Ovis aries: one gene and its partners. The protein of the gene in region 2 interacts with the protein of the main gene of each other region in a biochemical or structural test. Links are inferred from orthologs where the notes say so. Each region holds a gene or a part of one and is shown on either strand. Other genes may lie near its edges. The genes, in order: RBSN, RAB5A, OCRL, CHML and APPL1.

Region 1 (5,573 bases), on a different chromosome or scaffold from region 2:
GCAAAACTGCAGCAACTCTACCCAGAGCCGAGCACACTTGGGTATCTGATGTCAGATGTTAATTAAGGGTCATGTCCCTGTAAACCTAAGCACCAAAGCGAAATTCACAATTTCCCTTTTTGCCCTTAACTGGTGAAGAGTTCAAGTACTGCGGTTCTACCACAATGATCCTGGGTTGTGCCTCCTACAACATTTTACTTTTATTTATTTTTTTTGGCCACACCACACCCCTTGCAGGATCTTAATTCCCTGACCAGGGATTAAACCCATGCCCTCAGCAATGAAAGCTCAGAGTCTTAACCACTGGACCGCCAGGGAATTCCCCATTTAATTTCTTAATACTACTAAACGTAGGTGAGAGAGTATCTCACCAGTGCCCACGGTCAGCACAAGATGACCTGCAAGACAAAAAGGCTCATTGACAAGCCTTGGAAGTTACTGTCATTGACCTTCTGACTCAGGGGACTTCAGCTCTTCTGGCAAGGTTCCACGAGGGTTCCTGACCACCAACTCCTAAACTATAGCCTGGGCCCTTAGAAAAAGCCCAGCTCAGAGTAACTGTGCCGAAGCTCTAGACGACGCTTTCTCTGGGGACAGACAGTTGTCCCGGTGGTCATTCACTTCCACAGAGCAACAGTTGGACAGACTCTGCTCCCAAAGTATACTACTTCTATCAGCCAAAAAGTTAAAAACTGCTGTTCTCTAAAAAGCTTATGAACAGACTCACAGTGATAACCCTGCACTGGGAGATTAACTTCCTGAAAGAGAGAAATAAGAACTAAAAGGAAGAGGGCAAGAGATCGTGAGGAAACCTCGCCCCCATCACCCCTTTTAAGAGGGGCTTTCCTGGGTCTAAACTATTGCCTCCACAGTGAGACCTTCCCCTGCCATCGCATAGGACGTGCCCAGGAGGGTAGTGGAAGTCTCAGGCCAAAGGAACATAGTCTAATGGGACAGCCTAAGAACCGAGTAAGATGTCAAGGGCTCTATGCTGTGTGTCTTGGCTAAAGGAAGGGCGCTATAGAAGGCTGCCCTCTAACACTGCAAGCTGATCGACGCTAGGCAGGAGTGAACGCGGGCACAGGTGCACACGGGAGCCATTTCTGCCCAGGGCCCAGCGGAACCGCACCTGTGACACCTCGGCAGTGAAGATTTCACGTCCCTTCTACAGGGAGAACACAACTATTAAAAAAAACTCAGGAAAAGCAGCAAATGCATGCTGGTTCTTCCTGTTCTCGTTCCCATTTTACTATTCAGCTGTCACGGGAAAAGCTCCAAGTGCACAGCACAGAATAGCCGATTCCTCCACTCTAACCTGCAGCCAGCTTAAACTCCGCCTTCCCCCTCCATGCCGCGCCCCCAGCCCGCCCGCCGGCTCCGCAGGCCCCCGCCCGGCCGGGTCAGTCGGTGCCCCGCTTCTGTTTAGCCAGGGTGCGCCTCAGCTCCCGCAGGTTCTCGGTCAGCACCTCCACCTCGTCCAGGCGGCCGCACTGCTTGGCATCGAAGATGTACGCCTTGATGTTGTCGATCTGCTGGAGCAGCAGCTCCTCCTCGATGGGCTCGGCGCCCTCCTGGCCGTTGCTCTCCTCCTCGAAGGGGTTGGTGCAGGGAGCCTCCTCGAAGGGGTTGCCAGGGACAGGGGGCGATGCGGGTGTCCGCGGGGGGGGCTCATCTTCCTCCTCGAAGGGGTTGGGGGCGGGGCCATCCGGCTTAGCGAAGGGATTCCCCGCCACAGCCTCCTCTTCCTCCTCTTCCTCAAAAGGGTTGTACTCTCTGAGCACGCGGGCTGGCAGGCTGAGGGAAGGCTCTGGAGCAGGAGGGCTGGCCGTGCCCTCGGCTGAGGGGTTGGCGAGGTCTTCTTCCTCATCGAAGGGATTCAGGGAAGGCGCCTCACTGCACTGCGACGCAGTGCTCTGGGGCAGGAACTCCTGGCCCAGGGCTGGGGGCCCAGACCACCCTCGGAAGGGCTCGGGAGCCGAGCTGGGTGGAGAGGTCTTGGTGGCAGTGCCGCTCTGAGCTGGGGAAGAGCCCAGATCCAAAGCGTGAGCGAGGTGGGTGCGCGGCTCTCGGCCCGGCTCCAGCTGAAAAGGCCTGATCTCCCGGAAGTCCAGGGACCGAGTCCGCGTGTGCAGAGAGGCCGCCTGGCCCTGCTCGCGCTCGCGCTCGCGCTCCCGCAGCACCTGCAGCTGCTCGCGCTGCAGGCCCTCCTCCTCGGCCTGCCTGCGGGACAGCGCGATGGCCTTCTCGGTCTGCTGCTGGTCGTACTCGTCCTGCAGCTGGCGCAGGTTCTCCTGCAGCGTGCGCACCTCGTCCGCCCGGCCCGCAGCCTTGGCCTGCCGGATGAAGGACGTGATGTTGCGGATCTGCTGCAGGAGGGGGTCCGCGTCCTCGCTCTGCCTCTGGCCTTCCGCCAGCGGGAGCCAGCCCTCAGCCTTCCTCAGCGGAGCAGGACCCATGCGAGCGGGCGCCACCTCCCCGTTGGTCGCGCGGGCTGCCAGGTCACTCCGCCTCTCCTCAAGCCTCCGCTGGGATTCCAGGGCAGCCTGGGAAGATACCAAAGCCAAAAAGAAACACGGTCACCAGGCCAACAGCCACACTGCCGGCCACCACTGCGGCCATGCCATCCCCATTCCAGTGAGACCCCAGTCCCCCACCTCGGGACTGTGGTATTCAGCTGCTAAAATCAAGCCATGATTTTTCAAAATTAAAATAACAAACCAGTAAGTTAAGGGGTAAGCTTTCCTCCACCTCACATTCACTGGCTAAGCACTTACCTTAAACCTCTGAGATCTATTACCACTCATCTACACTGGAATCTCACACAATCTTAAATACACATATTATTCTCTGTTTAATACTGCATGTTCCAAAGTGTTCTAAGAACTCCCTGGTGTCTGGGTCGTCTGCAGCCTGTACTGGGGGGAGGACTGCCAGTCTCCATGGTATTCTAGACAGGAGAAACTCAGCAGAACCTCCGAAAGAAAAATAGGACCTGGGGAGAAAAACAGTTACTTTGATTTCTAAAATGCAAGAGGCCAGAACAGAAGGAAAACACAAACCAGAGCGAGTGAGAGGTTCTGACTTAACAGCAACCTCACCAGACCTCCTGGGAGCCTTGGAGGCCTCTGTGCTCGTGGAGCCAGCGTCCCCTGCCTCGCTCACCTGCCTCTCCAGGATCCTCTTCAGCTCCATCTCCTGCTTCCTTTTCTGTTTCAGTTCCTCAAACTGCTCTTTGGTCGGCAGTGACATCAAACCAAGCAACTTTTCCTGTAGGGGGTCATGGACAATTTTATACTTAAACCCCTTTCAGGATAAAAAAAAAATGAATCTGAAGTTCCCTAGTGAGAGCCCGCTGAAGCTACGTCACATCAGTCTAAGACAGTCACCCTAACGAGCAGAGCAGGGAAGAACCTAACCTGGAAATCAGGTCCATGCCAGCTTCCTTATGGAGGGGCCAGCCTTTTCATTAGGAGATGATCAACACCAGACATCCCGGTTACTTGCCGTCTCAGTGAGGCCTTTTCCTGCCTTTCCTGTCTATTAGCACATCTGTAAGCCACCATCTGAGCCCCACCCCCATGCCCTCCTTTCGTTTCTTCCCAGCACTTACCACCCTCTTAAGCCATATATTCAGCTCTTTCTCATCTATCCCCTCTCTATAATATAAGCTCTACGAGAACAGGAAGGTCTATCAGGATACCCAGCACCTAAAACACTGCCTGGGCCGCAGCGGGCACCCACCAACGACTATGGAACACAGTCATCCATCAAAAGCAGGGAGGGCGTCACTCTGCATGATGGTGTCAGGCAACTAATCGAACAGGATACGCAGAGCTCCGTCAGGAGCCCCACAGGCGACTGACTCTCACAAGGGCTTTCTGAGGTTGAGACGACTCAGATGCAGCCTCCCAGGTGGAGTGAGCCCTTGAACAATCACCTGTCTCCTCCAGACCAAGGGCCCAGGGAGAGTCCCCCAGGAGCCTATCGCAAGGAGGAAATACTCTGTGCAAGCAGGTCCACCAGGCACTCCTCACAGCAGCAGAGAAATGGGAGTCTATCAGACGCCCAGGGACAGGGGAACAGTTACATAAAGGGTGGTGAGCACACCCAGAGCAGGGTCTAGGTCACTTTCCTTTGACATGCAGATTTTTCTCTAGATGTGGCTGACACACATGTAACCCTAAAGAGCAGTAAGTGTGCGAACTTAGTGCCAAGCAAGCCATGGGCCCCATCCGCCCTCCTGAGTGGTGGAGAGCGGCGGCTTTACCTGCACAAACAGTGTGGCCGAGTATCTGATCATCCTCTGCAGCCGCAGAGTGTTCGGATGTGGCGGCGGGTCCTGCTTCATGTCTAAGGTTAAGATCTTCTTACTGCATGAGAACAAACACGGCGCTGTAAGAGGCACGGCCAGCCTCAGAAACACGGGTGGAGAGTCCCCAGCCGCCAGGCTTGCGTGCCGGCAAGGTATGAGGAGAAATGCGCTCCAGGCTCCCCTGAAACGTCTTTGCGGGTGAAGCCCGTCTCTTACCCGGTGGCTGTACTGGAGGCCTCAGACAAGCACGGGGCAAACGACAAACACCCGGCCACCGAGGGCCCGTGACCGGTGCAGCGAGGAGCCCTGTGCTTAGTTCAGCACTCTGCTGTCACTGCCTTACAAGCCTCCTTTTTTGTATTTATTTCTGTATTTGGCTGCATCAGGTCCTGGTTGCTGCTGCGGGCACTCGGGTGCGGCACGCAGACTTCTCTTCAGTTGGGGGCGAGGGCTCAGTAGTGGAGCACACAGGCTTAGCTGCCCCGTGGTGTGTGGAATCTCAGTTCCCTGATCAGGGATTGAACCCACATCGGAAGGCAGATTCCTAACCGCTGGGCCACCAGGAAAGTCCCTTACAATTCTAAACTTTGATCAGGGGACCTGCATTTTCATTTTGCTTCTGATCCTGCAACCTATGTAGCTAGTCTCGCACGTACGGATGGACAAGGGTTCCGCATCTGTTTTCTGAATCACAGTACTTCCTATACTGCAAAGGGCTGATCTAACCCCAACAGCCAATCCACAGTTAAAAAGCAGTAGCTGGGAATTCCCTGGTGGTTCAGTGGTTAAGACTTGACCACTTTCACTGCCGTAGGCCTGGTTTTGGTCCCTGGTTAGAGAAATAAAATCCCACAAGCCACACAGTACAGCCAAAAAAAAACATATATATATAGCAGTGGTCAAACTGAACTAAGAGTCTGGACTTCCATCCTGGTCCCAGCACTTTTGCTAGCTGTGGTGCATTCTTGCACCTATAAAATGGGGGTGTTGATCTCTGCATCACAGGGTAACGGGTAGAGCACAAGAGCCACCCTGTGTGGCAGCAGCCAGTGACCGGCACGCAGCTGCTGCCAGTCGGCTCCTGTTCCTGCAGCAATCACGAACGGGAAAACTCCTCAAGCAAGCTACCGAGACGCACTGAGAGCCGGAGCTGGCAGCCCCTCAGCCTCCTCCTCACACAAACCCCGGATCACCAGGACCAGGTAAGCTGGGCCTGCTGGCCGCCCACCACCCCGTAAACCCAACACATCCTCCACTTAAG
Region 2 (6,636 bases):
TTATCTGGGTTACTGATACTTCTCCCGGCAATCTTGGTTCCAATTTGTGCTTTATCCAGCACTGCAGCACTAACACCCCAAAATATGAAACTGTGCAAATCCGAAACGAGAACTGGTAAAACTATTGATATGTTTCATTCAATAGACTGCTGATATAGCCAAGAAAAATGAGGACACTTTTCATAAAATGATTTAAAAAATCAGCGTATTTTCCAAGATGGCCACAAGATTTCATGCATATTCTTGTTAAAACACGACACTGCCTTTCTTTCCTCAAATCTGCACAAGTCTGTGACTTGAGCATCACTGATACTATCTCTGTGAAATTCTGGAGGTAGGTCATAAAAAGCCACCCAGCCTCTGCCTGGTATCTTGGGGACATTCATGCTTGAACCCAGCGACATGCTGTGAGGAAACCAAAACCAGGAGGCAAGCCATGTGCAGGTATTCTGGCTGACAGCCCCAGCTGAGATCCCAGACATGCTGAGATGACGCAAGCCCCAGGACTGACCCCCCTCTATGACATCAGAAAATCTCCTAAGCCCCCACTCTACCCCAAGAGACAGTAATTGTTTTAAATGACTAAACTTTGGAGTCATTTGTTTCTGAACAATAGATAACTGGGACAGTAATAAAGAGAAAAATAAAAAGCATATTGCAGAGTCTGCTATGTTTTAGATTGCATAAAATGGAGAAAATATATAGAGTTGAATATAACAGTAACTTTGCAAAACCAGTTAACACTACCTCTGGGGAAAAGAACTGGAAAAAGAACTAAGTAGTCAGAAGATAGGAGTGAGGCTTTTCAACATAAATCATTTGAATTTTGATTCACAAGAACAAACTAATGACAAAATAAAAATGTGATACGTGTGGACGGCATAAAAATGAATACAGCGGTGCTGACTTTGGAACATGAGTGACTTGAACATTTATTTTAAAATACTTTATCTTATTTTCCTTATAAATCAATACATAAGGGTGTTCTGTATCTGTCAAGCACAACACATTTTATAATAGAATGCTTACATCATGCATATCCTGAACCTAAACTACCAATTCCAGGATACAGGTGGCACTGAAGAAAGATTTGTCCTTAATTCCACCTGTCAGACAGTCAATACTGATGTCCTCACAACAGAGCTATAAATAATAAACAGCAAATTGGGGGAAAAAAAACACAAACCCTCATCCTGAGGAAAAATCGACTTAACACTCTACTAAATTCCAAAAGGATTTTTGGTTGGTTTGGTTTCAGATGCCCAGAAACAAGTTTTTGGTTTTTTTTTTTTTAACTTTTTATTTTGTACTGGAGTACAGCCAATTAACAATGTTTGTGATAGGTTCAAGTGGGACTCAGCCATACATATATGTGTATCCGTTCTCCCCAGAGTGGCTTCTCAGGCGTCACGGTGGAGAAGACTCCACCTGCCAATGAAGGAGATGCAAGAAACCCTGGGTCCGAAAGAGGCCCTCGAGTAGGAAATGGCAACCTACTCCAGTCTCCTTGCCTGGAACATTCCATGGACAAAGAAGCCTGGCAGGTTACAGTCCCTGGCATTTCCAAAAGCCTGACAGGACTCAATGGTAAACACGCATTCTCCTCCAAACTCCCCTACCAGCGGGGCTGCCCTCTAACATTGAGCAGAGCTCTCTGCACTACACAGTAGGTGCTTGCTGCTTATGCGTTTAAAATATAGCAGCGTGTACATGCCCATTCCAAACTCCCTATCCCTTCCTTCCTGGCAAACATGTTAGTTCTCTAACTAACTTCCTGCAGAGGAAGCTAATGAATGTCTTGGGTTCTTTAATGGAACTGTGCTTAAGAACTCAGGTTCTGTGCCAGTCTGCAATTTAAAGACGATTTCAGCACCTACTCCGCCGTGATTCTAGACAAGTTACACAATCTCCGTGCCTCGAATTCTTTACCAGTTAAACAGGCATGAATTCCACAAACATGACTGAAGACTTCCAGGCTGTCAAGTCATCGTGCTAGACAGCAGCGAGACCACTCTGTGGAGGTCATACTCCACCAGAGGAAGTCGGACAACCACGCTAGTCTCAGAGCTGAAGCCTCCTAGCGTAGGAAGAAAAATGGATTAATTCCCGTGAAGAATTTAGTACAAACAGTAACCCATGACAGGAAGTTCCCTGTAAAAGCTACCTATTATGTCATAACGTGCCCTTCTCCACCAAAAACGCGTAAAACTCTCGGGAGAGCAGGTTATTACGGAAGACCTCCCTGCCTAAAAGGACACCTCCGGGTCACACCCTCCTCCCCGGAGTCAATGCCCCTCACCAGCCTTCACCCACCCATCCACCCCCAAGGACGCGCGTCAGGAGGCTCTCTCTGCCAGAAAAGTCTGCCGACCTAGCAGAGTCGGTGCTGCAGGGTAAGGAACGGGGGACACCGCGCCAACAGTCACAGCCCTACGTCGGCCCGAGCTCTCCAGGGTGCCGCCGAAAGCGGGGCAGCTAAACAGCCCTCCCCGCCGTTCCCGGCCCACAGCCCGAGAGAGCCCCAAGCAGACAACAATGGCGCGCGCGAGGGCGGGGCTGCGCGCGCAAGGGCCGCCGGGGGTGGGAGGTGGCCTGCGGCGGGACCCGCCCCGCGGCGGGGGTCACGTGACCCAGCGGCCCCGCCCCGCCAGGGAGGGCTCTGAGAGCGGGCGGGGGCGCGGACAGAGCGGGCGGGCGGGCGGCGGCGGAAGTGACGGAGGGGCGCGCCTCGCTACGTGCGGCGACGTGGCGGCGAGGCCGGCGCCCGGCGGCGGAAGTGGCTCTCGCGCTGGGGCTGGAGTGTTTGTGTTTTGGTTCGCGGAGGAGCCGGCGGCGGGCCTGAGGGGAGGAGGGAGGAGGAGGAGGAATCAGCGGGAGCTCGAGCGCCGGGCGGCGGCGGCGGCGGAGGAGGAGAGAAAGGAAAGAGGAAGGCGGAGCGGAGAGAGGCGGGGACGGAGCCCGACGGGGGCGGCACCGCGGCGCGATCCCCGCACCGTCCAGTCTGAGGGGAGCGGCGCGACTGGAGGACACGCCGCCGCCGCCGCTCTTTAGGCCCTGCCTGGGCTGCGCCTGGAACCTGCAGCCGGAGCCTCAGCGCCGCAGCTCCACGCGCGGCGAGCCCAGGTAGCCCCGCCGGCCTTCCGCCCGCGAAGCGGGTCAGAGCCCCGGTGGTCCGCGGGCCCCGCCGTCACAGGGCCCCCCGGCCTTCCTGCTCGCGCCGGGGCCCGGGACCGGAGAGCCGCCGGACGCGGCGTCTCGGCCCGGCGGCCGCGGTGGCCCCCTGAAGGGGCCCCGGAGGCCAGGGTTTGGGGGCCGGCCGAGGGAGCGGCGGGTATCACCCTGTTCCCTTCTCAAGATGGCGCCGCGAGAGCGGCCCGGAGGCCGCGGCGCCGCTGCCCCGTCCCGGCAGCCGGGTAGGGGGTCCGCGGCCGGAGTCGGGCCGGGTTCGGGGAGGAGGCGGGAGGGGTGCGCGCGGGCCGGCGGGCCTGCCTGCTGGCCGGTCGGAGCTGCTGCCGGTGGCTCAGGTGTTCCCCGAGGAGGAACCTGGGCCTCCGGCAGGTGTGAATTCGGGGAGCTCCGCCCACCCCGGCTCCCCGAGCCGGGTAATGGAGGGAGGCGGTGGCCCGGGGAGCCCGGCTGTCCAGGGCCTCTTGTCTCAGCTCTGGAAGGTGGTGAACCGCGGCCTGAAAGCAACCCGACCCAGGTAGGCCGCCGAGGCCCTCAGACGGTGGAGCCGTTTGAACGTGCTCTGCTGTTCGCCTCCCTGCAAACTGGCTACTCTCTAGAGACTTTCAGACTTTTTAAGCTCTGAACGTCATAATTCGCATACTTGGTTTTTGTCTTTTGCTGAAGTGGAGCCTAAGTGTCCAATCAGTTGCCTTTCACATAACTAGTGGGGGAAAAAACCACATGGACACCACTGCGATAACTCCGGGCAGTTCAAGAAACTTGATTCTTAATTTAAAATGGGGATCATAAGAGCTTCTTAGGGTTGCTGTAAGCCTAATTCGTGGAATGGTGATTGGCATAAAATAAATGCCTAGTAAATGTTAGCTGCTGTTATGAATTCAATTTTGATCAAAGAGCACCCAGAAGGACTTTAACTACAGAATAGCAGTTATTTTCAAAAGATTTAAAATGCATTTTCTGCAAAATCTTTGGTTTTGGAAAACAAAAGTTTGTAATGAGTACAAATGAATATTACAAAATATAGCTTTTAACCTTAATGTAATGCTAACTATATTCATAATTAGATTTAGTTAATATTTTTGTTTGAGGTCCTTGGAGGGAACTATAACCAAAGTTAAATCTTTTTTTTTTTTTCCTTTAATGAGCATCTGATGCTTTCCCTGAAATTTCGGGAGGACTATAGGAATTCAGAGCACGTTGTCCTTGATGAGTAATTCAGTTTGCTGTTCTGTAGGTAATAGCTGGGAAGTGTTTCAGTTGCTGTTGTGTGTGATATATGAAGATTTGTTGGTACATTTTCAGTTTACATGACATTCTATTGATATTTGGTCATTATTTCATCAAAGGGGCACTTTAATTGCCTATTTTCAATCGCTGCTATGTGTTGACCACTGTATCAGAAATATTTTAGGTATATATTCTCTTAATTTCTCACAGCAGTTGTGAAAATTGGATATTCCGGAGTAGAGAGTTTGAAATGAAGGCACTTGCTCCAACAGAAATTAGTATAGTTATATCGAATTAGATCCCCAGATGTATGTTTGGGAGTGGTGGGAGGATAGATGTGAGATTGGAGCATTTTTTTAATCACAGAAAATTCTTTATGCAGAAGCAGGAAGAATAGTATAATGAACCCATCAACTAGCTTCAGTTATCTTGTTTTATTTATACCCCCATTGTTTGGGAGCAACTCAGATCTATTATTTCATTTGTAAATATTTTAGGTACAGTATGTATTACTGAAAGATAAGAGGTCTTCAGTGCTGCTGTTTAGATAAAGTAGAGGAGATTTTATTGTCTTAGATGTATGGTCTCATAGATATGTTTATTAATGAGTTGATTGTTAAGAGAGATTCTTGTATAAACTCGTTTCATGGGCAAGACAAATTTCTTACGAGGTACCTAAATGAAATCCAACAGTGACTTGAGAAGGAGAATCATCATATTTAATGTTATTAAGCACAGGGTCAGATTTTGATTAAAAGTAGAAGAAAGCTATTATGATTGATTTGTGAGTTATTTAGTGTTAGTCACTCAGTCGTGCCCAACTCTTTGAGACCTCATGGACTACAGCCCACCAGGCTCCTCTGTCATGAGATTTTCCAGGCAAGGATACTGGAGTGGGTTGCCATTTCCTTTTCCAGGGTCTTCTGCACTGCAGGCAAAGTCTTTACTGACTGAGCTAATGATTTGTGAGTAGCTTGGAAAATAATTTTTTTAAAGTTTGCTAGTATCTTTGAGAATTATCATTATTAAATGATAAAAGAAGACTTAGAAGTTGCATTTTAGGCTAGTTTTTTGTAAGTGTGTTAAATAGAAAATAATGACACGTTTAATTGTGAGCCCCAAAACTGCAGAAGAGTATAAGTAAGTAGGACACTCACTCACTCACCATCCGGAGAACCGCTGTTAACACTTCCATGGATGATGTATTTGAGGACATGAGAATACAGTGTTAAATCCTTTAGCCACCAGACATAGATCTGTTTAAAATATTTGTTGCTCCAAAGTTACCATTAAATAAAAAGCATGTGCCATTTACAAGGAGCCTTCAAAGAATAATGGCTGACTTTTATTGAGCTTAACTGTTTTAAGCTCTAAGGTTTTTTCCTTAATTGACTTAATTTTACTCAAAACCATTTTAACCTAAGTAATCTAGTTCCAGAACCAGAACTAGTCACCTTTCAGGTTGCATGGGTTGAAAATCAGCTCTGTTGAAGCTCTGTCACAGTAACTGTGTGACCTCAGTCAAGTCACCTAACCTTTCTATGCTTGTTTCCTCATTTTTTAAGGATTGGAATAGGCAACTTTATAGGGTTGTTGAGTGGCTATGTTAAGTATTTAAAACCATCTGGCACGAAATTGAGTCTTTAGTAAAGGTTAGACTTAGAATGTTTACAGAGGCTTAAAAATTACAGCATGACTTTAGGCTCAAAGCTCATACCTTTGCTTATTAATCAAGGCAGTGAATTAAAGTAAATGGCAGTCAGTGTCCAATAGAGGTTCTAGTTGTCGTGTATTACTGTGTTGCAGGCAAAATTTTAAAGTGATGATGTGAGGTTTGCTTTGTTTTGCTGATTTGTATTTTTAATTACTTCATATTTGTTTTTTTTACAGGTTTCTTTACCTCCAGAAAGAAAAGAATTGACTCCTTGCATCCTGGAAGTTCATTTAAGAAACTGATATTAGGGACTTCTTTCAAATTTGGACATGGCTAATCGAGGAGCAGCAAGACCCAACGGGCCAAACACTGGGAATAAGATCTGCCAGTTTAAACTGGTGCTTCTGGGGGAGTCTGCTGTTGGCAAGTCGAGCCTTGTGCTTCGTTTCGTAAAGGGCCAGTTTCATGAATTTCAGGAGAGTACCATCGGGGGTGAGATTTTCTTTTACCTTTCTTCATTTAATTGACTCATACGTTGACAAATAAGATTTTGCAGTTCTGATTGT
Region 3 (6,136 bases), on a different chromosome or scaffold from region 2:
ATGGGACATGCATACAGAGACAGATGACTGTTAGCAGAGTACCTTGCCCATGGAGCCTTGATAGGTGATTTTTTTTGTTGTTCAGGAATGACCCCAGGGATAGGTTAGGGTAAGTCTATTCAGCTTTAAGGACCCTGAGTCAGTTTCCAGAATCTTCTGTTTCTTGCCATGGCCAGCTTACTGCAGACAGTAATCCTCCTCCAGCCCCAGATGGTCCCAGAGCTGCCCTCCTTTTCTTAGTCTCTTCCTTTGTGTTCAGGAATGGTGCTAAGTGAATGGCCTTTGGTGGTGGTGGTGGTTTAGTTGCTAAGTCGTGCCTGACTGTTGCAACCCCATGGACTGTAGCCTGCCAGGCTCCTCTTTTGGTTATGGTAAGTTCCATTCAGTGGAATGGTTGTTTCACTCTATGACCCCTATCTCTCCAGCTCAGTCACAGCTTCTTGTTCCAGACCAAAAGGAGTCATCCAGCTGGTACCAGAAATTAGACACTAAGGACAACTCTTCTGTTTTTTCAGGTACTGAAAAGATTCTTTTTTTTCCCCTGGTTGCTATGATGATTGCAGAGTCAGTAGATTTTACCTGGGCAGATAAGATAGTGTGGGGTAATGTCAATGTCAGATACCTTCTCCTGTGGAGTGGTTTTGGAATCTGTACTCACCACCTCATGTTCAGTCCTGTTACTTTCTGTGGCACATTAGCTCTTTTGGAGCCAGCTTAGCAGATGGGTAAAAAATGCAGACTCCAGGGGCAGACTGCCTGGGTTTGAATCACAGCTGTCTGACTTCCTAGTTATATGACCTTGGTCAAGTTACTTTGACATCTCTGAGCTTCTGTTTCTTTTTCTGTAACTTAGGAAGATTTTTTAATAGCACCTATCTCATGGGGGGTCTTTGTGACGATTAAATGAGATAGTGATATAATCCCTAATTATCAACCAGGCATTGTGCTAAAAGTATATAAATACTCGCTCTTTTAGTCACATTCCAAGTTAATGTAACTTACTAGTTATGTTTATCATTCTAGTTAATATGTCAGTGGTTCAGGGACAAATGTGCTTCTTCCCCTAGCTACGTTATCACTGTTCGTATACCTTTCTGTTTGGTAACGCTGCTGAGCAAATAGGGGTCAGACCAAAACCGCTGACCAAAGCAAAGTCCTATCTATCCTGAACAAGTTGGATGTTATCTTCCCCGGCTTTGACTCTGGGTTCTGCATCCTTCAGGGCTTCTTGGATTTGAGGATAATTTTTCATCTATGAATTTGGACAAGAAAATCAATTTGCAGAATCAGCCTATAGGGGTTCACCGGGAACCTCCACCCCCACCCCCTTCAGTGAATAGAATGTAAGTCCTGTGTTGAAACAGATTTCCCATGTGTGAGACTTCCCTGGTGAAGGCAGTTTCACTTCTGAATTGCTCATTTATTTGCTAGGCTTCCACGTGAAAAAGAAGCTTCTAACAAGGAACCCCCCAAAGTGACCAACACCATGCGGAAGCTCTTTGTACCAAACACCCAGTCTGGACAGCGGGAGGGTCTCATCAAACACATCCTGGCAAAGCGAGAAAAAGAATATGTCAACATTCAGACTTTCAGGTTAGTCTCTCTTCTACTTAAGGAGGTGAAACATTAGTTACCTTAGTTGGTATAGAAAAAATATTCTTTTGGTATTTAAGATATTAGTGTAATTAGCTTATTTCAGAATTAAAGCATAATAAAAAAGAATGGTGAGTTGATTCAAGCGCTTGTCTTTTTGCGGTCAGTAACCTACATATCCGCGATAATGCAAATGCTACAATTTCCCTTGGATTTTCTAATTACTAATAATACCACATCTACTAATACTATCCACTCTTAGAGAACGAAATCAAGCTCACATGTACTAGAGAATTGTCTCCTAGCACATTCCATAAGCAGGTGTGTTTATCTATCTGACCTGCTGAATTTCTTTTTGCCAGTACTGGCAAATTAAGTCCACTGTTACCGCTAGACCTTAATTTTCATTTTCCTACTTTGGTAAGTTAACTAAACGAAGTTTCACCCAATCCTCTTGATTGGGAGGCCTATCTTGAATTCTTTCCTCTATTATATTTTTCATTTCATTTTTACTTGTTGATATCCTCTTTCTTGGATTCACTGTGTGTGGCGTGTGGAATGGTGTATTGTGCCGTGTATCTCGATGTGCAGAGCAGCAACGTTTTTCTTTGTTATTTGCGAACAGCATGTACTCTTTTAGTCCAAGATTCCAGTCCCATCTGCTATCCCATTATGCCTCATTTATTCTAATTCAGTCATGACTATATCCCTGTGCTGAAGCCTCCAGTTCTTCAGATTCCCCAGGATGCTTATATTTGTATGTAAACAGTTAAGACAGTCATGAGTTTTCCCTTCTGCTTTCCCCCTTAATACTATATCTGTCTCAACAGAATTTCCTCCACAGATGTCCTTCTAATCCTTCAAGAAGTGAGTTTTTGGATTTAACTATGGTTCCTTATGGAACAGTTATCCATATTAGACATCCTTACAGAGTGAAGATACCTCTTTCCCATCCAGAAGCTCTCCCTTCAAATATGTTTGGATGGAATGTAAGAGGAAGGAAATGTGGTAGAGCCGTTAAATTTGTGTTTTTTAAATAGAAACTTGATTCCTTTCTGTAGGTTTACCTGCTGTGAAAGTTAGAGGGAATAAGCCCACTGCCTTTGCATTCTACAGGCAAGAAGGGGTTTTGGTATGTGTGGCAAAGCAGCTTGAGAAATTGCACTGGCTTATTGTGAATATACACTTGTATAGAAGTAATGAGAGAACTTTCTTTAGTTCATACTTTACCTTTGTTTCTAAATTATTTTTTGGTATTATGTATTAGATTTTTTGTTGGAACGTGGAACGTGAATGGCCAGTCTCCAGATAGTGGGTTAGAACCTTGGCTGAACTGTGATCTGAATCCTCCTGATATCTACTGCATTGGGTAAAATACATATCTGGAATTTCATTTTGGCTATGTGTTTGGTGTTACTTTATGTGACATTTTGCCCTTTTTTCCCCACTGTTTGTAAAAACCTACTGTAGACTATATATGAGAGCTAACTTGTGGGTCAAATTTGTGAGATCATAGAGGAACAGATATCTAAAATGGTGTGAGGAAGCATCTAGTCCTCTCAAAACCCATAGAAAACTATATTCTTCATAGAAACTGAGATCTGAGGTTAATTCTAATAGTGACTATTCCTAGGATATATAAGCAAAGCTCTGTTATCCCTTATGGAAGTTTTTTGTGTGTTTTGCTTGACCTATGCATATACTTGTGGGGGAGTCTTTTGAAAAGAAAACTACTTGTCCTTACTGATCACTTGAGCAGTAGAGCAGTTCTCTAAAATTCCTCTCTCCCACATTCCTTTTTTCACCTAATGTCTCAGAAAATGGGACAGGAGGTAGTCAGAGATAATTATGGGATGTAGATCTCACATCCTCTTGTTTTCTCAGATTCCAAGAGCTGGACTTGAGCACAGAAGCCTTTTTCTACTTTGAATCTGTGAAAGAACAAGAGTGGTCCTTGGCGGTAGAGAGGAGTTTGCATTCCAAAGCCAAGTATAAGAAAGTAAGCTGCATTTAATTATCTTTTTTAGTATATGACTAAATAGCACTCACTGGAAGTTACTCTGTTTATAGCTTGTTCCAAAAGAATGGATTAATTGAATTCTCCCCCATGTGTAATACCGGATAGGGCAGACTAATGCTTTTCATTCCTATTTCCTAGAAAAAAAATTCCCTAAGCTTCTCAATTCTATAGTTTCATTGCTTGGCTAAGTTTTAAGAGAAAGGAAGAATTTTACTGTGCTGATAGCAATAATTAACTCAAATGACATATAAGTGATTTTTTGCAACAAGAATTTAAGATTGAAATTGTTTGCTTACACGGTCAGAACTGGATGCTTTACAGAAAAGCAGTTTGAAGCATGTGGGTGCATTGGGTAAGCTTTAGAATTGGAGCAAGAACAGGAGTGTTGTGGAATTTAAATGAGTTTAAAACTTGGTTGTAAGTCAAGAGTAGAGTTGACTTTAGCAAGGTGACCCAATTTGTTGGTCTTTAGAAGGCACATAGTAGAGGCTACCAAAAGAGTTATTTTAATTATTCAGCTACCATATCAAGCCCTTCAAAAGGAGTCATCTGTCTGAGTAATTTTCATCTGCCCCTTCTTACACCTGATGTAGGTGATAAGACTGCTGAAGATGTTATTCCTCTCATATAGACTAATACATATTTCAGACATATTTCTAGTTCACAAAGTCAATAGGATTGTTATACATTTTATTAGGAAATTTACTAGGAAGGAGAGGCAAAAGGAACAAGCTGGGATAGAGGCTTTGTCTTTATTATTCAGCTTTTAAATACTGCTTACTCATGGTAGGCTAAAACGTGATTAAAATAATGAATCTAGAGCTGAGGGTACTTGTTGTCCCTGAAGACTTTTACTGGTCAGAGCCAGATTAGCGCTTTCCTGGAAAAATTTTGTTGCCTGTTTATGAGGTCCATTGGGAAATTAGAGGATTTAGATTCAAATTGAGGCATGATTATATCTTCTTGGTGGAAAATTACTTGTGGGAAGTTAGAGATGTGCAAAGAGTGGTATTAACACAAACCTCTTCTAATTTCCTGGAACTTAAAGGTTCAGCTAGTCCGCCTTGTTGGGATGATGCTCCTGATATTTGCCAGAAAGGATCAGTTGCGATATATCCGTGATATTGCTACAGAAACTGTTGGAACTGGAATCATGGGAAAGATGGTGAGTTAATCTGGAGTTGAGCTTGATTATGATTTCATGTCCATATGAAGTTCAGGTGCTCATTGTGTCTTTTGTACTAACTGTGAATAATTACTCTTGCTAACAGGGAAACAAAGGTGGGGTAGCTGTGAGGTTTGTATTTCACAACACTACCTTTTGCATTGTCAATTCCCACCTGGCTGCCCACGTGGAAGAGTTTGAAAGAAGGAATCAAGATTATAAGGACATCTGCGCACGAATGAGTTTTGTGGTCCCAAATCAGACCCTCCCACAGCTGAACATCATGAAACATGAGTGAGTGGTTAAGTCTTCTTTAGCCTTTGAGTAGCGGAGCTGAGAAGAGACTAACCATGATGAGAAACTATAGAAATGTGCAGAGTGAGAGATTACTGTTTTGGGATTGGGTTCACAAAGAAGAGGAAGGTACAACTAGCAGATGCAATGAGTCAGAGAAATTAGATTTGCTATCAGAGGAAAGCTTAGTTCTATCAGCGGACATCTGAGTATTGGTGGAGGGGGTCTGTCAGTTGTAATCAGTTTTCATTATTTTTTATTATAAAATAGAAATATTTATTATAAATATAATAAAAGGTGAAAGGAAAAAAATCCATCATTTCTTATCTCTGCTTTCCCCAGCCAGTCCCTCCCTCCAGAGAAAACCACTGTGGACAATTCAGTGTGTATCCTTCTAGATCTCTGCTGTCCAGTATGGCAGTCCAGTAGCCATAGGTGACTACTGGGCACTTGAAAGTAACTAGTCCAAACTGAGATGTGTGGTGAGCATAGACTATGCACTGAAATTATGGGGGAAAATGTAAACTATCTCAATTTTTAAGATATTGATGACATGTTGAAATGACAAAAGTTTGGATATATTGAGTTGAATGGAATTTGTTGTTAAAGTTATTTTCACTTGTTTCTTTTATTTCTTATATTCAGCTACTAAAAAATTTTAAATTACATTTGTAATGTGCATCCTATTTCTTCTGAATAGTGCTGTTCTAGACTTTTAACTGTGCACATGCACACACATACTCAGTATATAGGACTGTATTATCCTATTTTTTGTGAATTATTTTCCAAGCCAGTAAACATAGGTCTACATTATTCTTTTCACTGACTGTGAATCATTCAGAAAAGGGGCCATGGTGATTTAAAAACACCAGTGGTTAATATGAAAGGTTAGTGAATAATGGAATTTAATAAGAACAGAAACAAAAATCAGTTGAGGAATGGATTCTCAAGGAATCAGTTGAGAAAATAGCTGTGAGGAAATTAACACTAGTAATTGAAACTCTGAGAGGGTGATGAGACTTGGAATAAGTGGTTTGAGATAGGAATTAGCAGGAAAACAAAAG
Region 4 (6,136 bases), on a different chromosome or scaffold from region 2:
CACTGCCTCATTGACTACAAGGGTCAACCAGGAGAATTAAACTGCAAGGTGAATTCTAAACATCACCTTTACAAATAAAAGATCATGCAAAACTATTCTTCCAACAATTACATATTTTATCACATTGGCACTTGCATTAGTTGCTATTGCTGCCACCATATCTATATGTTTCTATTATAAACAAAAGACCCACATAATTTCCTGTGTTTCACTACTCAGAGGTGGTAGCAACTGTAATAGCTGTAAAAATAATTTAAATATTCCTTAGATATCACCGTTCTGTAGACAATAATAAAATTTGAAGATAATCAGCAGATATAATATCATCTTCCTTTAAGCACCATTGCTAACACGGAACTCTCACATATATACCCAGTACTAAAATAAAGCTAATTCTGGGTCATGGAGCCCATTCTGAAACAAAACAAGTCCAATACCCAATACATCAGTCATTGATAGGTTAACAAAGGCATCCAATGACTAAAAGTCACAAAGAGAATTATAGACATCTGCATGACATTCATCATATAACCACATCTAATTACTCCTATAGGAAACTGTCCTTTAAATGAGAATATTCTGATGCCAGGACAAAGGCCCAAAGTAGCATTTCCAGTTTGTTTTTTTTTCTAATTTTGAAGGTGCTTCCCTGAACTTTCTAGGTTTTTACTTCCCTCAGAGGATTCTAGTTTGGCCATTACTATATTACTGGTTCCAAGAGGCTCTGATGGCTTTTCATCACCATCAAAGAAAATGTCTTCCGGATTTGGAGGTGGGGGGCAGAATTCTTCACTTGGAAAGATCTCGTGGAAGAGTGTTTCAGCTTGCTTGACGGCATGCTCACTTCCGAGTCCACAGTCAGGCCCAGTGCAGACATAAACGTTGGGAGGCAAGCCATTATATGAGCTTCGGCTGACTCCCGAGGAATCTCTCATGTTAAAATAAAGAGCCCACAAGAGTCCTGGCTTTGGAAGTTCTTCCTTGTCTACTTCTGTCTCAGAATACGGGGTGAATAATTTCTTCACCACTGATTCTAAGTCTTCTCTTGCTGTTTTGGAAGATGAACAGGTCAGATGTACCAGGTAGGTGTCTTTCATGCATGTCATGGTTGAAGAACATAATTCAATGATTCGGACAGCATGTGCTCCTGGTTCCACTGGAGGTACTATCAAAATGGAAATCTGCTGATCTGAATCTGTCTTTAGGACAGACTGATCTGTAATGAGCACTGCCCTGGATATCTGCTTATACTGCACACTGGAACATGTTTCCTCAGACAGGTAACTATCCTCCACAATGAAATATTTAGCATTTATCCTTTGACCAAGGTGATCTATAATTGCTTTACATCTTCCAGATTCTCTGTCAACTACAAGGCATTGTACTTTATGGCGAAGACAATATATTCCACCGAAAACTGCACACATCCTGCAGAAACACTGGGGAATTTCGCCTTGGCCATATAAGGGAAATAAAAAGGGAGTGTTGCCAAACCGTCCAAGACACTGAAGAAAGTTTTTTGTTGCTTTAAGGCCATCTACTGTAGTGCAAGATGATTCTGACATCATGGCAATCGAGTGAAGTATAAAATGTTGGAGGCTGGGGGTTAATTTTTTGGTTTTCAAGTACTCTGAAAATGAGCATTGTGTGAAAGCTTGGTATTCCTCAGGATGTTGTTCATAATCTAAACAAAATGTAAGAAATTTCATTAGCATCCTCTTTTCAACCATAGTGAGCTCTTTGCTATTAAAGACATCTGCTCTGGAACAAGGCACCTGCTCTACTTTTCCTTCTCGAAATGCAAGAATCCTAGTGACATTTTTAAATTCAGCGTAACGACTAACATTTGATTTGATTAACAGATCAATTAACAGTCCTTGAGAATAAAGCAACTTCGATGACAGATCAATATTAAACCTCCTGCCTTCTTTAACTATTTGAGAGTAAGCAATCCTCTTTCTCTTTGGTGGCACACTGTTGTTTTCCAATACAGGTTTGATTTCATCTTTAGTGCCATCTGAAAGTGTGTGTTTATAAGTATCATACCCACAATATTCTTCTTTCACAGAAGTTTCTGCCGTATCAGTTATTTCTTCATTGTTTTTTGGATTGTTGTCTACATTGTTGTCTTGTGTAGGCACTTCATAGCTAGTAATGTGTGATGAGTGAGTTTCCTCAGACAAGCTTGTAGAATCCAGAGGTTTTATGAGGGTACTAGATGCTACACAAGGATTTTTCTGCAGAGCATCAAGCTCTTCAATATTGCCATCCATGCCCTGACTGGCATAACAAAACACTTCGGCGTGTTGAATGGTTTCATCCTTCTTGCAAAGAGGGATGGCTTCTTCTGTTTCATGGATCATGTCTTGCCATGCAGCAGGGCTTTCTTCCACAGTGTCACTGTTTTGCCGATGTTCCTTCAACCAGGACAGCAATCCTGGAAAGCTGAAACTAGCCCAGTTTCCCCCATAGTAACTTCTTGAATCGAGATGCAGAACCCTTTGACCACTTCTGGAACATGCAGCGGCAAGGATGGATTCAGGCAGACCTGTCCCCATCACTATCACATCAAATTCTGTTGGGAGACTGTTGGCCATCCTGGAAAAGTATCTGGTGACAACTTCTAATGAAGAAAATGTGTATGAATCTGGGCTGAGGGTTCAGAGAAGGTGTGACTATGCTGTAATAAAATCTCTCCTTGTGATATTCCAGATCATCCCAGAAATACTGAAGTTGCAGGTCCCAGGTATTCAACTGCTACCCTTTTTTAGTATTATTTTCTTCTAGGTCAGTAGCATAAAACCATGATAAAGTACATCTAATCATATCTGAGAATAATAAAACAAGTATACGGTGTTCATTTTTGTGTTTCATCTTAGCAGTGCATGTCAAAATGTATCACATATGGATTTGTGACTGGAATTCTGCTCTGAAAGGAGAAAATTCAAGAAAGAATACAATTATTAACAACACTAAGAGAATAATAATTTCAAGCATCAACAATTATAATCCTATGGAACACAACTTGATATCAGGACATAAGATTTTACTAAAGCAAGTCATTACATGCTTTCTCACATGTTTTCTAACTTCTTGAAAATAAGCAAAAGATATAGACTCCTCCAAGTCAGGCAATTCAACAATGAAGAATGGATATAACAACATCCCACAAAAATAAAGAATTAGTGGAGTACAATTCTATAACTTTTGGTTTTAAGTATTTGAATAAATGGTACACAACTAGGAGATTAAATTGCAAGTAACAGGTGGCTCCACTGTGTTTATGGAAACATACTATATACTATGTGCATGCTGCTGTGATTATGCATATTTCTGTGGCCCATACAGTCTGTAGATGCTTCTAAGACAAATGATGAATAAAAGACTTTCTCATGCCCCACCCACCTTTAGGCTCTTATGGGAACAACATGAGACTATTTCTATTGAATGGGCCACTGCTATAATCAGAAAAGGATTAATTCAATAAAATAGCATATTGAAATGTTTAGGTATATGAAAGAATCAGTCTACTGAAAATGCATTTGTAAGAAATCCTTATATAAATGTGCATATGCACAGGTTTGGTTTTTAGGTGTAAGTTAAAAAGGAAAAGTCCTGGGTCCATATGTTAAAACACTGCAGTATAAAATAACATCTACTTCACTGGAAGGACTGATGCTGAAGCTGGAGCTCCAATACTTTGGCCACCTGATACAAAGAGCTGACTCATTGGGAAAGATCTTGATGCTGGGGAAGATTGAGGGCAGGAAGAGAAGGGGACAACAAGAGGATGAGACGGTTGGATGGCATCATTGACTTAATGGACATGAGTTTGAGCAAACTCTGGGAAATAGAGAAGGACAGGGAAGCCTGGCATGCTGCAGTCCATGGGGTCACAAGGAGTTGGACACAACTGAGTGACTGAAGTACAGCTTCTAAAAACCTATGTCAACATAGGGTGACATGCATTTTATGAGACCCTAGCTCTGAGACTGAATCTCTTCATCTCAAGATGAAGGTCTAAACATCCTCTGCCAAGATTAGCATGTTGTTTGTTGTTCTTATTTTTGAAGGGGTAGGAGGTGGTAGTAAAGAAAGTCTCTCCTGTTAATCTGTAGCATCATTCTGTTGTATTCCACGTGCAGAACACCTGCATGGTGGTAGGTGTTGCCAGAGGTGCAATAGCCAAAGGGCTGAAAGGCATACTCACCTGGAAGTTATTAGATTGAAGTATTACACAAACCACATGCTTGATGGCCTTCCTATCATTGCGTGGTAAGAGTAAGTTTCTTGAGCTCTGATTTTTCCTACTGCTACACTTACTGAAACCTAGATCAGTGCATACTGGGCCTGCCTAGGCTGAGATGACTAGATGGGTATCCTGGATACCCATATAACAAGCCATTCAACTGGAACTTGAAGTGACTAATTCACTGAATTGATAGTTCAGTTTAAATGAGATGGCAATCTTCATAGTCTTATCTGGTCAAAGCCTCTGCCTAAAGAATATTAGGGATTCCACTTGCTTTCAGCATTCCCTAAGAAACCAGGAATTGAGCACAGAATGAAGTGGTCGCCTGGCCTACTCATATATATATGTGAATTACTTATTCTGCTTTCTTCCTGCAGAGTGTGGAGAGGAAGACAGAACCCAGAACCCATGAGGGTATGTGAAGAAGTGTAACCATAGTATGTACCTATTTTTGGCTTAGAAGGGGATATAGCAGAGGGTTGGGAGTAAGAGAAAGGATATAAGCCATAAGTGCTGAAACCAGCCACCTCCTAACCTACAGGTATCAACGGAATTCTCATAATACAAGGCAAGGCAGGACAACCTTAAAGAACATTTAGCTCAATTACCCTGTAACCCCAGGTAAGAGAACTGATGACTGGAGAGATTAAGTGACTGGGAGAGTCCACATGATGGGTTAGCCACAGGATTAAGTGGGACCCATGCTCACACCATCAGGCCAGTGGTCTTTCCATTTGACAGAGCAGCCTCTCTAGAAGCCTCTGAAGTAAGCAGTCACTTTTGATATTTTAGAATGTCCTGCCCTTCACTACTCCAGGGTTAGTTAGTTCTTGCTTAGGGCTAGCAATGAGGAAAGCACCCTCCCTCTCTTTAACTCTTACCTAGAAGCATAATGTTTGGAATTTACTCCAGAATCCGCCAGTCAATGCAGGAGACACAGGTTCCATCCCTGGGTTGAGAAGATCCCCTGGGGAAAAATGTGGCAACCCACTCCAGTATTCTTGCCTGGGAAATCCCATAGACAGAGAAGCCTGGTGGGCTATAGTCCACGGGGTCACAATAGAGTCAAACACGACTTAGCAATTAAACAACAAAAATGTTTTCAGCTCTATCATAATCCACTATTGACCTGTCTCCCAGGGCTTGAACAAGACTCAGAACGTTCTGTCCCAGAGTTTCCACCTCTAACTTAAAGGCAGGTGAAAGCCACTGTTGAAAGCACTAACTAAATGCCCAGAAAAAGAGTAGTGGTCAGGCAAAATACTGTGTGGTGAACATTTTTAGCAGTCTTAGAAAATCCTTTCAGATTGGGGTGGGAATGGAGCAGGGATGATGAGGGAGGAAGAGGATGGAAGAGAAAAGGAGATACAGTAGAGTGAGGCCACAAGATAGAAGGGATGAGGAAGAAAACAAATGCTGGTACTAAGAAAAAACTCAACACACCCCTGTTTCCAAACTCCCAAGCACTGAGTTAGAATAGAAACTGAATTTCCCAGCACAGAAAATGCACTTCTTGAAAATAAGAACTTTAAGTGCTTATTGGGGAAGGGGTAGGTAGTAGTAGAATATTAGAATCAGAGACAAATAAAATTATGATTTCTATGACATTTTCTTGTGTCCCTCAACATATAAAAAAGGAATCATAACAAATATAATATGCGGGTTTGTCATCACATAGAAGGTTGGTGATCAAGAAAATACGCTTGATAATGCTACAACGATTTTATTCTTATAAACTTGCCACGGTAAAAGCACTAATGAATTATCAATTTTTTTTAAAGGAAATTTAAGACCTGAGAAATATACATTTCTATTTCAAACTTTTGTACAAATGAAATTTCTGGAGCACATACAAAATGATAATTTCTTTTCCAAGCTTAAAAA
Region 5 (6,136 bases), on a different chromosome or scaffold from region 2:
GCTACGTCTGCTGCTACTATGTTCTTAATGCAGCAAATACTGTCTCAGAGGGTTGGTAAGAGAAGGGAATAAACTAAACTCTAGCCTCATGATACTAACAGCCTGCCAGAAAGCAGCAGTCACAAGGCTATTTCTGAATCTGAGCTTCTAAAAGGACAGCAAGCAGTGATCTCTAAGCTCTCTACTTATAGGTCCACTTATAAAATTCCATGTGAAACTTAAGAATGTTGCTTGAGGGACAATTGACTTTTATGAAAAAATTAACCATGATTTCCCAAATATCTAAAATGAACACATCAATATATCTTATCATCGGAAAAAGAGCTTAAGGTGATGATAAAGAAATTAAATATGAATAGATAAAATTTTACCTCTTCATGGTCTTTTTTACTCTCTGCTTGCAAAATTGAAGACCTGGAAAAAAAAAAAACCCAAAAGTCTGACATTCAACTTTTTTCTAAAGTACTTTTAACATGAATGAGAAATGTTTACCTTTAAAGATACACATAAAACCAATCAGTATCAAAAAACAAAACACAACAGAAAACATGTAACGAAGGAGACTAACTACCAGAGGTATCAGGACTTAGATTTTAACAACTCTTCACTTGGTCTGTCTCTGCCAAGAGGTACCAAAAAAGAAATGTGCTGGTTTTCAGAAGGCAGGCTATGGAAAAGGGACACTGACACTAAGACAATGCATTTTAACTTTCTGACACTCACCGCATGTATTTCAAATATAAATCAGTGGTCTTAATAGAAAACACTAATTTTACTTCATTATTTACTATTTTTCCTTGAATATTTTTAAGTAAAACTTTTCAATATATTAATCACTAACATAAGGAGATGTAGGTTTATATTTTCTTCTCTTTTTTTGGAGGATAACTGCTTTACAATATTGTGTTGGCCTCCGCCATTTATCAACATGAATCAGCCTCAGATATACATATGTCCCCTCCCTCCTGTATCTCCCTCCCATCTTCCACCACCCCATCCCATCCCTCTAGATTATCACAGAGCACTGGGTTGAGCTCCCTGTGTCACAAATTCCTACCGGCTATCTATTTTACATATGGTAATGTATATGTTATTTAACTTATATGCAGAGTACATCATGAGAAACGCTGGACTGGAGGAAGCACCAGCTAGAATCAAGATTGCCGGGAGAAATATCAATAACCTCAGATATGCAGATGACACCACCTTTATGGCAGAAAGTGAAGAAGAACTAAAGAGCCTCTTGATGAAAGTGAAAGAGGAGAGTGAAAAGTTGGCTTAAAGTTCAGCATTCAGAAAACTAAGATCATGGCATCTGGTCCCATCACTTCATGGCAAATAGATGGGGAAACAGTGGCTGACTTTATTTTTCTGGGCTCCAAAATCACTGCAGATGGTGAGTGCAGCCATGAAATTAAAAGACACTTGCTCCTTGGAAGGAAAGTTATGACCAACCTAGACAGCATATTCAAAGCAGAGACATTACTTTGCCAACAAAGGTCCATCTAGTCAAGGCTATGGTTTTTCCAGTAGTCATGTATGGATGTGAGAGTTGGACTATAAAGAAAGCTGAGTGCCGAAGAACTGATGCTTTTGAACTGTGGTATTGGAGAAGATTCTTGAGAATCCCTTGGACTGCAAGGAGGTCCAACCAGTCCCATCCTAAAGGAGATCAGTCCTGGGTATTCATTGGAAGGACTGATGTTGAAGCTGAAACTCCAATACTTTGGCCACCTGATGCGAAGAGCTGACTCATTTGAAAAGATCCTGATGCTGGGAAAGATTGAGGGCAGGAGGAGAAGGGGACAACAGAGAATGAGATGGCTGGATGGCATCACCAACACAATGGACATGGGTTTGGCTGAACTCCAGGAGGTGGTGATGGACAGGGAGGCCTGGCGTGCTGCAGTTCATGGGGTTGCAAAGAGTCGGACACAACTGAGCAACTGAACTGAACTGAACTGAATGTATGTTTCCACGCTATTCTCGCAATTGATGCCACCCTCTCCTTCCTCCACTGTGCCCACAAGTCTGTTCTCTATGTTGCGTTGCCATTGCTGCCCTGCAGGTTCACCAGTACCATCTTTCTATATTCCACATGCGTGCATTAATATACAATATTTGTCTTTCACTTTCTGGCTTACCTCACTCTGTATTATAGGTGCTAGGTTCATCTATAGAGGTTAATATTTTAAGAGTTAGGAAAAAAAATTGTTTTTGCTAATTTTACATCACACGGGGAATATGAAATGGAAAATCATGTTAAGCATTAGCAGAAAACTGAAAATATAAAAATGTAAATACATCCAGTAACATTAACAGTTTGGTGATTTGGACAAATGAACACAGGGACTCCCAACATCTGGTGTCATAAGTGGCACACAGTAATTGACATCCATTGCATATTTACAGAAGGACTATGAAATAAACATTCAGTATTTTCTTAACTATTTAAAAAATGTACTTAGAATAAAATATAAAAACTGTAAGGCAATAGCCAAAAAGTTAATTGTTGCTTCTGGTTAGTGAGGTTATAACTTTTTTTCATACTCCCTTTTATATTTTTTCTGTGCTTCTCAAAAATTTGTTTTTAAAGCTATTTTATGGAATTTTTGTTTAATGCAAAGGTAATAGAAATTTTTAACATGGCATATAAATATTAATGGCCTAAATAACTAATATGATCAGAAATATATGATTAACATTTAAAAATATTACCGTTAGCACCTACTACACACTGGGCACATTACATATGTTAGATTTCTAGTCTTCATATCAATTTATAAAATAGAAATGAAGACCCTCCCTCCCCTCATTTTACAAGTAGAAAAATGAAGCTTAGAGAGGTTAGGTAACTTGTCTAAGACTATAAAGTAGCTGGTGGATCCAGAATTCAAACTTTCTGACCCCATGCTGAAACTCTTTATACTAATTTGTGCTGCCTTTCCGACACCATGCTGGACTTTCAGTGACCAATCTCTTAACATGAAATCACATGTCTTTACCACATAAACTTGCTTTGACAGCCTCAAAATATTAAGACATTATTTATGCAAGTCAAAAAGGAAAATTCAACTAATTTCTACAAAATTAAAATGAAAATTATCCTGATACATAATCATTCTAAAAGATCTATACAATGTCCAAATGCAAAGGAATTACCCTACATTTCAGTAGTTTAAGATATGACAGTTTTTTTTAAATAGTAGAGAAACATACTAACTTTTTGCCATCGAAAGAAGTGATCTGAAAACAGTACCGCCTGTCTTCACAGTCCACAGCCATGACTGAGCAGTTGTCTATGTCCATGGCCAGGCCTCCTGCTACGTCGCCACGGGCCTGACTCATCAGGTTTCCACCCTGCGTGAAGTAAAACTGTCTGTCCCAGGTAGATGACACCAAGCCTGTTTTACTAAATGAAGAAAGTACATTTATTCTTTAATAACAAGCCAGGTAAAACGGCATGAAGGTGCCTAAAAAACATAAACATCAGTTTTTCAGTCATAAATTCACATATGCTGACCCCCTTGCGTGAGTGTGCATGTATACATTTCCAAAACAAGACTGGAAATGATCAAATTATAGCTATTATAATGATGCTCCATAAAATACAGTCCAACATTCAAGGGAATAAATTCAAAACAAAATTTATTTTACTTTGAGGGTTAACTTGCTTTATCCTTTCTTCAGGTAAAAACTAACATTTGACTTGATGGTGCGATTACATATATTTTAAATTATGATAATGATTATCATAACATTTACTTGTTATGCCATTTATTTAAACTCTAATTGGTTTCCCTGTTTAAAATAATTCTAAATCATTTGATAAAAATCTAAATAGAATTTTACTTTTGAAAATTACTCACGTACCTCATCAGTCAAAAAGTTGACATAAATACTAATTGTGGTATTAGTAGAAAGATTCTATATTTAGTAAAATAAAAACAATTTGGAGCTATCAATTATATATTATATTGACTTGCTATTGCCTTAACTGATACACAATATATGAAAATAACAATCGTTTTCTTACTTCCTAGCATTAAGGTACCCCGCCTTCCGGGTCAGGTTTCGATGAACAGGAAACTTTGTGGGATCCGGGTCAGGCACATATAAGGGGTCACTGGCCACTTCCAAGTCCTCTATTGTCTGCTGCATGGTCTCTACATCGCTGTCCATTTCCCTGCGAACACTAACAGAGAGAAGAGGTTATTTACCACCAACCAGAACAAAGAACACCACACCAATCTCATTTATCTGTATATTTGTTCTGTATGTTTTCCTAAGGAACAGCAGTAGCATGCTATAAAGCAGCTTTACGTTTTGAAACTTTAGATATTTTGAAACCAATACCAAATTCCAAAGCTAATGAATCCACACCGAATGACTCACTTTGGAGGAATTTTCAAACTGCTCTGTCCTGTGCCTTTAAACAGTAATCATTTTCATCTCTCTCCATATCACAGTTTAACCACATGACTGCTCGGATTTTGAAGCTGATTAGAACTGCTTTTTCTCTCTCTAGATTTATTTAATAATCTCCCATCCATACTCTACAATTCAGATAATTGTGAAGATAATTCACTTATGGATAATTACTATTAGGTGCCTATTATATTCAGACACAAAACCTAGTTTCAAATCAATAAAAATACCATCCGATTTGACACTGTTATGAAATTCAGAGTCCAAATGCTGTGGAAGAGATGGTGAGAAAACCAAGAAACATCCACAAGCCACTCAAGAAACACTCCCATGGCAGGGAAAACAGCCCATCTGAAATTAAGTGCTAACTATTTTTAGATTATGGTATTTAGCTGTTAGCTTATTCTCATAACTTCATTTTCAGTTTTAAGGAAGAAAATACTTACTTCTGTACACTTGTTCCAATATTAGTTAAGAATTCTTCCAGTTGGTCATTGAGATTTTCAGAACCCATCTTAAAGAAACTTATCTGGGGCAAGAGGGTGTGGGAGTGGGAGGGTCAACAACAGAAACACACACACACAAACAAAATACTTAGAGTGAATCGTATACACAATTGCCAAGATACATAGTTAAGTAAAAAGGGTTATTCCCATTTGTGTAAAAACAGGTTGTAGTTTACAGTGATTTTTACTGAGCAGAGTTACTGAAGAGACTACATTTAAATTTCACCATGCATCCTCTTATACAGTAACACATACATATGGTTAAGTAAGTTTTTAAAATTAGAAAAGGTATTTTCAAACATTTCAAGTAAGTCACACAGATAAACTAATTCATGTTTACTACAAAGATAAGTAAGTTTTATATCAGAGGAATAATAAGCACTCATTTTCAAAAGAATATTCAAATTTCATAAACTCTTCCTTTTAGAGCACTGCCATTTTGTTTTATGTTACTCAAACTTAATTTTCTAGCCTCCTTCCTGATGTAACCACTCTTGGAATACTTTGGAGTTTATCCAGTTTAACTCAGGAGGTATGCAAGGAACATGGGACAAACTCAAGCATGTCCATTCTCTTTCAGATTTTTTATAAAACAAGAGTGATTGGAAGCTTGAGTAATAGGAGTAGCTCCGGAGTGCTTTAGCTTCCTGTTCGCTGTCCTCAGCTGAGATGGACAAGGTCTAAATCCAAGGTAAGTGTGTTTAATTTACCCTAAAATATCTGAAATCTTCATTTGCAAGGAAAACCCTTCTAACTTCCTTAAGATAGCACACTGACGACATTTTTAAAAATGCTTTAAAAACAGACAAAAATGAGTATTTGACCTTAGTTTGTAATATCTTTACATTTAACATAAAAATCTAACTTAAAAGAAAGTTCTCAGGACAGTTACAAACCAAAACACAGTACAGTATTCACCTGAGCTTGCATATATCCCAGAAGAGGTTCTAACAATGCTATTTTCTTTTTGTACTGAAGAGTATTTAACGCACAAAAATAATGCATCATGGTCTGGTGTTGTTTTTTTCTCGAAGTGTAGACATCTTCTGTTACTTCATACTTCACCTTTGAGTGAAAAGATTAAAAATCCAATTATTTATTTGATTTTAAGTTACCTTTAGTGGTGGCCAACGGGAAGAGACTATCCAAGGAAAAAAGTGCATTGCCAGCAATTGTACATAGCTTTCTTATTTTCTGAGATA

Evidence for each region.
Region 1: the proteins of RAB5A (region 2) and RBSN form a complex in vitro, tested with the Homo sapiens proteins (3 studies listed by BioGRID, with this or other methods). The link is inferred for Ovis aries from reciprocal best matches to the Homo sapiens genes RAB5A and RBSN.
Region 3: the proteins of RAB5A (region 2) and OCRL form a complex in vitro, tested with the Homo sapiens proteins (2 studies listed by BioGRID and IntAct, with this or other methods). The link is inferred for Ovis aries from reciprocal best matches to the Homo sapiens genes RAB5A and OCRL.
Region 4: the proteins of RAB5A (region 2) and CHML form a complex in vitro, tested with the Homo sapiens proteins (2 studies listed by BioGRID). The link is inferred for Ovis aries from reciprocal best matches to the Homo sapiens genes RAB5A and CHML.
Region 5: the proteins of RAB5A (region 2) and APPL1 form a complex in vitro, tested with the Homo sapiens proteins (2 studies listed by BioGRID and IntAct, with this or other methods). The link is inferred for Ovis aries from reciprocal best matches to the Homo sapiens genes RAB5A and APPL1.

Annotation. Positions count from the first base shown.
Region 1 is NC_056072.1:57,117,921-57,123,493, reverse strand, and holds part of RBSN (rabenosyn-5), read right to left. Parts: intron 4,371-5,573; coding exon 4,268-4,370; intron 3,268-4,267; coding exon 3,163-3,267; intron 2,544-3,162; coding exon 1,401-2,543; 3' UTR 1-1,400. UniProt on the Homo sapiens protein: Rab4/Rab5 effector protein acting in early endocytic membrane fusion and membrane trafficking of recycling endosomes. Required for endosome fusion either homotypically or with clathrin coated vesicles.
Region 2 is NC_056054.1:278,206,525-278,213,160, forward strand, and holds the start of RAB5A (ras-related protein Rab-5A), read left to right. Parts: upstream 1-2,194; 5' UTR 2,195-2,393; exon of another isoform or gene 2,394-2,564; intron 2,565-2,742; exon of another isoform or gene 2,743-3,123; intron 3,124-6,306; 5' UTR 6,307-6,399; coding exon 6,400-6,562; intron 6,563-6,636. UniProt on the Homo sapiens protein: The small GTPases Rab are key regulators of intracellular membrane trafficking, from the formation of transport vesicles to their fusion with membranes.
Region 3 is NC_056080.1:113,504,570-113,510,705, forward strand, and holds part of OCRL (inositol polyphosphate 5-phosphatase OCRL), read left to right. Parts: intron 1-425; coding exon 426-515; intron 516-1,222; coding exon 1,223-1,343; intron 1,344-1,431; coding exon 1,432-1,593; intron 1,594-2,860; coding exon 2,861-2,962; intron 2,963-3,477; coding exon 3,478-3,592; intron 3,593-4,661; coding exon 4,662-4,778; intron 4,779-4,884; coding exon 4,885-5,072; intron 5,073-6,136. UniProt on the Homo sapiens protein: Catalyzes the hydrolysis of the 5-position phosphate of phosphatidylinositol 4,5-bisphosphate (PtdIns(4,5)P2) and phosphatidylinositol-3,4,5-bisphosphate (PtdIns(3,4,5)P3), with the greatest catalytic activity towards PtdIns(4,5)P2.
Region 4 is NC_056065.1:34,430,455-34,436,590, reverse strand, and holds part of CHML (rab proteins geranylgeranyltransferase component A 2), read right to left. Parts: intron 5,220-6,136; 5' UTR 5,134-5,219; intron 2,930-5,133; 5' UTR 2,598-2,929; coding exon 630-2,597; 3' UTR 1-629. UniProt on the Homo sapiens protein: Substrate-binding subunit (component A) of the Rab geranylgeranyltransferase (GGTase) complex. Binds unprenylated Rab proteins and presents the substrate peptide to the catalytic component B.
Region 5 is NC_056072.1:43,953,796-43,959,931, forward strand, and holds part of APPL1 (DCC-interacting protein 13-alpha), read right to left. Parts: intron 6,000-6,136; coding exon 5,853-5,999; intron 4,958-5,852; coding exon 4,875-4,957; intron 4,196-4,874; coding exon 4,037-4,195; intron 3,413-4,036; coding exon 3,224-3,412; intron 2,132-3,223; exon of another isoform or gene 1,110-2,131; intron 415-1,109; coding exon 372-414; intron 1-371. UniProt on the Homo sapiens protein: Multifunctional adapter protein that binds to various membrane receptors, nuclear factors and signaling proteins to regulate many processes, such as cell proliferation, immune response, endosomal trafficking and cell metabolism.